Linked DNA regions of Mus musculus. The protein of the gene in region 2 interacts with the protein of the main gene of each other region in a pairwise test. Links are inferred from orthologs where the notes say so. Each region holds a gene or a part of one and is shown on either strand. Other genes may lie near its edges.

The links. The genes of interacting proteins can lie anywhere in the genome.
Region 1: the proteins of Traf3ip1 (region 2) and Pcnt interact in a two-hybrid assay, tested with the Homo sapiens proteins (2 studies listed by BioGRID and IntAct). The link is inferred for Mus musculus from reciprocal best matches to the Homo sapiens genes TRAF3IP1 and PCNT.

Annotation. Positions count from the first base shown.
Region 1 is NC_000076.6:76,383,904-76,387,471, reverse strand, and holds part of Pcnt (pericentrin), read left to right. Parts: coding exon 1-45; intron 46-1,601; coding exon 1,602-1,768; intron 1,769-2,566; coding exon 2,567-2,731; intron 2,732-3,568. UniProt on the Homo sapiens protein: Integral component of the filamentous matrix of the centrosome involved in the initial establishment of organized microtubule arrays in both mitosis and meiosis. Plays a role, together with DISC1, in the microtubule network formation.
Region 2 is NC_000067.6:91,518,609-91,522,176, reverse strand, and holds part of Traf3ip1 (TRAF3-interacting protein 1), read right to left. Parts: intron 2,600-3,568; coding exon 2,515-2,599; intron 2,122-2,514; coding exon 2,038-2,121; intron 1,294-2,037; coding exon 1,170-1,293; intron 991-1,169; coding exon 954-990; intron 1-953.

The sequences.
Region 1 (3,568 bases), on a different chromosome or scaffold from region 2:
CCCCTTCTCATGAGTTAGCGAGAAGAAGCGATGGGAGCAGGAAAAGTGAGTCTGTCTTTTATATATACATATACATACATACATACATACATACATGTATATATATATATATATATATATATATATATATATATATATATATATATATATATATTATTGTGTGTGTGTGTACTTTTAGAGTTCAGGATACTACAAAGGTTCCACCAGGTCCTCTGCTGTCCAAATGCACTGTCACCTTGTTCCCTGAGTACAAGTTGCCAACGTGCTTCTGTTTGCCTCCTAAGAATGTCTTCGTGTGTTGGGGGTGGGGGGTGGGGTCCAGGTCTCAGCTCATTGCTTAGCACCTTTTTCAAGCGTTTGGAAAGAAAAGTAAACGTGCAGTGAACGTTCCTTCCCTTCACACTCAGATGGAGCGGATGGCGGGGAAAGTTGAGTGGCCTGTGTTGGACTCAGTGGGGACACCTGTGTAGGACTTATTGTCATATCACATTTGCTGTTAAAATAGCATCTATTGGCTGGAGAGTTATTCGGTGGATAGGGCACTGACCTTTCTTCCAAAGGACAGGGGTTCACTTCCCAGCATCCACATGGTACTCCTTGGCTGTCTGTAATTCCAAGATCTGACACCCTTAGACTGACAGACATGCAGGCAAAACACCAGTGCCTATATAAACAACTAAGTAGGTTAAAAAAAAATTGCAGAATTTGGAGGCAAGAGAGGCAGGCGCATTTCTAAGAGTTAGCATGTTAAGGCTGTGAGTTCCTGAGTGTCATCTCTTGCTTCCCCACCTCATGCTTGAGAATGAGGGTCTGGGCTTCCTCTGTACGTATGAGTTCTAGGATTTCCTTCCATTTGCTGCACTTTCTTTCTCCCCAGCATTATGAAAGGTGTGAATCCTTTCACTGTATGTCTGAGAATGTAGACTGAGCACAATCAAGGGAGAGATGGCCTGATGCTTCTGCTCGCTGTGGGTCTGGGGCTGCTGCCTCTATAGGCTGAGTCCCTGGGCACCAGACCCTCACTGTACCGCACTGGCCAGCACGTTCCTGTAGGCTTTCTTAGGCTATTGCAGGCAACAGGCCTGAAGATCCAGCTTTTATGCTCCCAAGGCCTTGTAAAGCCCCTGCCCATTAGATGTCTGGTGCCACAGGTTCTGGACTGTGCACAGTCTCGTCCCTATCCCACCTCAGGTCAAGCCAGGCACATCCAGAGTGGACACCGCTGTCCACCCAGCTGCTCCTACCCCGTGTCTAGGCTTGGTGTCCTGTCTGTCCGCAGCATTCTTGACCCCTGTGCTGGGTGAGAAGCACCTAGGCCTTAGGTACTGTCTGGCAGCCCCTCAGTGCTTTCTGGGGTGTGGTTGCCAGTGGGGGTGAGCGGGTACAGCCGTGTAAGGAGCTGAGATAACCCTGAGCAGACAACACGCCAGACATGCAAAGTAAGCTTTCCCTTTCTTGCTCATTTCCCTCTGACTTGTGTTTTATGGAAATTGGTGACACCTTTACCTGGTGCTAATCGGTGCTTTATGTGCCATGAGTTGCTGTCACTGTAGTTGGAAACAGATGCTGTGGCTTCAACCCCGGACCCCGTGTGCTTCTAGGTGATGGCCCAGACATTGCTATGATGTTGACCCTGGGCTCAGAAGGGTCTGAGACTCCCACCACTGACCTAGTCGCTGCTGCTGCTGCTGCTGTTCCTTTCTCTAGAAGGTTTGTCCAGTCACCAGGAGCAATGAAGGAGAAGGAGATCCATGCAAAGCAAATGAAGGTACTAATGTCCCAGAGAATTGGCAGCCCCAGTGACACAGAAAAACCTGTCCCTTCCGATGGTCAGCCTTAGCCCATTGGTGGGCTACACTCATCCTGGGCCATCACAGTATAGGAGTCCCACTGAAGGTCCTCCTCTTTGGTCCTATGCCAGTCCCCCAGGTGGTGGGCCTACTACTTTTGCTGTAGTGAAAACCCATGACCAAAAACCAAGCTGGGGAGGAAAGGGCTTATTCACCTTACATTTCCACATTGCTGGTCATCATTTAAGGAAGTCAGGGCAGGAACTCACACAGGGCAGGAACCTGGAGGCAGGAGCTGAGGCAGAGGCCATGGAGAAGTGCTGCTTACTGGCTTGCTCAGCCTGCTTTCACATAGATCAAAGGACCATCATGCAGGGAAGATACCACTTGTAGTGGGCTGAGTTCTCCCCCATTGACCCTGAATTGAGACAATGCTTTACAGCCTGATAAGAATTAAAACGGTAGACAGCACGTTATCCCTGAGTCAGGGAGGCATTTCCTCAACTGAGGCTCCTTCCTCTGATGACTGTAGACTGTGTCAAGTCGATACAAAACCAACCAATACAGTTAATCTTTGCTTTATTCTTTGTGCCTTAATTATATATGATACAAAACACTGAGGGAGAGGTCTTTAATGTTTTCTGTCTAAGCACAGCCTAATAGTAAAGTAAGTTTTAATTTTCAGTGAAAGAGCTGAGGTGGCAGTAGTTGGGTGTGTGGATGATGGTTTCAGGCTGGGATGCCTCCTGCTTCCTGATGTTTTTTTCCTTCTGTAGGCTTTGCTGCAGATGGTGTTTGATGAGAGCCACCAGATACTGGCCTTGTCAGAAAGCCAGGACCCCTCTAGTGCACTGAACAAAGGTGAACCACGTGACCCCCTGGATGGCTTCCCGAGAGACAGTCAGGCCCTTTCGGAGGTGACAACTGACAAAGGAGAGAAGGTAGGAGACTGCTGGCTCAGTACACGAGAAGGAACCATTTGACCTGCCCATAACATGGTCACACCACTGCGATGGCTTTGAACAGCCAGCCTGCTCCTGACCATAGCCCCAGGAAGCACAGAGTACCCAGCAGGGTAGCTCCATATAGCTTTGCGCCTTTGCAGCCCAGGGCTAGCTGGTGCAGCAGCAGCAGAAGGAGAGAAAGGTTGCCCATTCTATTTGTGGTTTTTCTGTTGCTGTGATCAAGCACCATGACCGAGGCAGCTCACAGAAGGAAGGGTTTGTTTCAGAGGAATAGAGTCCATCATGATGGAGAGCTGTGGCTGGTAGGAGCAGGGAGCTTAAAGTTCACATCTCAGCCATAAGCATGAAGCAGAGAAAACTGTAAGTGCCTAAAGCTTTGTACTCTCAGAGCCTGCCACTCAGTGATGTACCTTCTCAGAAGGCCAAACCACCTACACCTCCGCAAACAGAGCCACCAACTGGGAAGTATTCAAATGCCTTAGAGTGTGGGGGACACTTCTCATTCCAGCCACTACTTTTTTGCTCTTTTTCATCTCACTACTTCTGATACCAACAAATATTTTAAAAAAATAACGTTTGTTATGTAGCATGTGTGGAGGGATTACTGTAGCGTGAGTGGAGGTCAGTTGGTTTTCCCTCCTACGGCGTGTTTTCTGAACATTGAACTCAGGTCATCAGACTTGGACACAGGAGCCTTTGCCTGCTGAGCCACCTGGTTGGCCCCTGATATCATTATGTTTTTTAATTATTTTATGTGTATGAGTATTCTGTCTGCATTTATGTTTGTACATCACATGTGTGCCTGGTGCTCAC
Region 2 (3,568 bases):
CTTGCCAGCCCCAGAGGAAAACTTCTTTTCTACTAAAAGGACATAGCATCAAACTACCCACTAAGTCTGTATGTCTGTATGCACAGACGATGGTTAATGTGCAAACTCACAACCAAAGTGTCAACACAAGCTCAGCCACAAGTGGGACATCTACACCGCACCCCTCATCCGCCCTCCAAGGCTTAGGAACATTACGGGAAGAGGAGTGAAGCGGTGGATAATAGGGGGATGGAGAGAAGTGTCAGAATGTCAGTCAACATTCTATCATGAGCTGCCCTCTCTTATGAGCCCTCAACCCCACCCCCACCCCCACCCCCAGTCACATTTTCACCTGCACTATCAGGGAGAGGAATATAGGGAGAAAGAACAAAGGAGAAGTCTTAGACCTCAGCACTGGGTGGGGTGGTGCAAACTTATAGTCCCAACATTCACAAGACAGAAGCAAGAAAATGATCAAAAGGAGATCTCCACAGTGAAGTCTGGGCCAGCCAGAGCCACACAATGGTACCCTGCCGCAAATAACAACAACCACAAAACAAATGTACACCTCTCAGTGCAGCTGGCTATGGACAGTTAACCTTAAAGCCACAGGAAGAATTACATGAATAAAAACCAAAACTGAGTTGGATGTGGCATATGCCTAGAATTCCATTGTTGAGGAAGCTAAGGCAGGAAAATGGAGAGTTTTGGACAGCCTGGGCTACATAACAAATTCTATTCTCATGTTCATGTGTGCATATAAGCATGTATAGACACAGTTTCTTGGAAAGACAAGATACGATGCCACTATGCTTGGAGTCCACTCTGATCTCAGGTTCTATGGCTCCCCCAGGCCCACATGGCAGCAGCAACAGTGTCCCTCCTAGGACCCTGTGGCACAGGATGGCCACTTGCATCTTCAGAGGACACAGAGAGCCCACACACACACCGACAAGAGCACGGTCCATACTCACCGTGCTTCTCCTCATCCTCCAGCTCCCCTGACGGCACCTGAGCGGAAAGGAGAGAGATCAGGGAAGCCTTGTTACTTCAAAATAAATAAATAACAAAAACACAAAGAAACCAGACAGCTCACTGAAAAATTAGAGAAACTGTGTCTACATAAGCTGAAAAGCCAAGTCCTCACTTTTGAACGTGTGCCTAAGAACAGGGCCCTCGGGGAAACTAACCATGTCAATGTCTGCGATTTCTGACAGCTGAGGGGCAGCCTCCACCACAAACTGCTCGTCATCCTCATTGTCAGAGTTCTGGGAGTCGATGATCACACTGGAGACGGTTTTACCACTTCCCGACCTAAGCAGCAAGAGTCATTACATTAGAAGTGACGACCCATCAGCCACCAGTTGTTGTCAGCCCCTTGCATCTGGAAATACCACAGTTCTCAGAAAGGAGCTGAACTGCCATTGCCCCAGACAGGTGAAGGGAACTCTCAGGGAACAGTGGGAACAGGGAGAATATCACCTCCCACACAACAGCCTCCATGTTGCCCAGAGCTCCAGGCCACCCCAGCCCTCTACCCCAGCCTTTCTAGTCCTTTGGCTCTGCCCTGTTTGCTGACGTTGACTCTAAGATAGACCAAGGGTGGCACAAGTGGGCCCTGTGGGTCACGTGACTTGGGACCGACCCCTTTCACAGGGCCACGCCTCTATCCAATACCGCTGCCGTGTTTTCAGCTCGGAGTACCTGTTGTTTAACTCTTGCACAATTACACCTTCAGCTCTCTTCCTTTTTACACTTTGACAGTCTTCTATCTAGAGGTCAGGGAAACACAGCCAGTGCTGGCCCATGCTTTCTGAGGCATCTGATACATGAACACACGTATTTCTCCCTTTTGCCAATCTGGAATGCTTGCTGCTCTGTGGTTTAAGGCAGTGATCTAATCCTCTATTTCTTCAAGGTAAGTTTTTCTTTTTCCTAGTACTGAGTACTACACCCTACCAAGTCTTTCAGCACAGGCCCAGACCTTGGCATCCCACAGTCCAGCACTGGGGAGTGTGGCTTCATTGTGACTAGAACCCCCTGGCCAGGCAGCCTCACCTGTCTACCACCAGTGTCTCTGTGCTCTCTTGTCGTTTGACCCTGGGAGGTGCTGGCCGTGCACTCCCAGGCCGAGGTATTCTTCTAAAAAAATATTGGAAGGAAAAAAAACAGACTGTGAAACACACACAAATCTCAATGTGGACAGGACAAATAGGCAGGCCAGCACTAGTGTTCACTCCCATGCCACGGTCGGCATGACACTCAGACTCTCTGCAGAGGAACACCAGCCCCATTCAATGGGCACAGCTGCCATTCATCAGAGCACCACAGGCCTTCCCATTACTAGGAACTTCTCCAAACTGTACAATGCTCCAACTCAGGTACAAGAAAACTAGACAGGTAGTTTCCGCTTGCTTTGCACAAATAATCCCTTACGCCACAGAACAAGTGTTGACTGGGCAGCGGATGCTATGGCAGGAAGCCCCACACTGTCCTAGGCATGACCACACTCCCAAACCCCAGCGGAGGACACACCTGAGGCTGGAGGGAAGCTCACTGGGAACTTCCGCATTCTCCATCACCTCCGGCTTATCTTGGCCAGCAGGTCCAGCTTCTACTTCTGAACAGGGGACAATCCAATCAGCATTCAAAAAGAACTCAATAGTAACAAAAATAAATTTACTCAAATATAAATATCAACAAATTAAATATAAACATCTGAAAAGGCATCAGTCAAATAATTGAAATGCAAATGAACTCTTTTCACCCATCACTGATGAGGTTAAAACTGACAGACGTCAGACATCTAAATGTGGACATTTGGGGACATGGGCACACTCAAGTTCTGCTAATGCACAGTGGCTGACCAATCAAGGAATAAAGGGTGATGGAGCCAAAAGAACTGAGCCTGAGGAAAAGAACATCGTGCACAGACGGACGGACAGACAGACAGTGTGGCAATCGCTCAGAAGCTCTAGCCCACTCACATGTGCACTCCTCACAGAGCACAGTGACAGATCTCAGTCACTCCCGCGGGGGCCCCAGGAGTGTGTGTGCTTCAGTTATAAAAACAAAGACCATCAAATGCCTTTCACTTTGTCACGCTGGACTCCATTTCTAAAGTATCTACAATTACACTGGGTGCTGTATTCTTTGAACAGTCAGTACATAATTTTCTTTGTATTTTAAGACAAAGTCTTACTAGGTAGCCCTGAATGGCCTGGAGCTCTCTTATGGAGGTCTCCCTGACTCTACCGCCCAAGTGCTGAGATTGGAAGTGGGCAGGATCATCCGGCTAAAACACAGTGTTTTTCATTTTAATAAAAAGGCTAAGACAGCAAGTCACAAATCAAAATTACTAAGACAATAGAATTTATTCTACTATTTAAAACAAAATAAATTTATACTTCATAAAACAGTAAAATTAGAATTTTAACATTAGAAATAAACATTATGCCGGGCGTGGTGGCGCAGGCCTTTAATCCCAGCACTCGGGAGGCAGAGGCAGGCGGATTTCTGAGTTTGAGGCCAGCCTGGTCTACAAAGTGAGTTCCAGGACAGCCAGGGCTATACAGAGAAACCCTGTCTC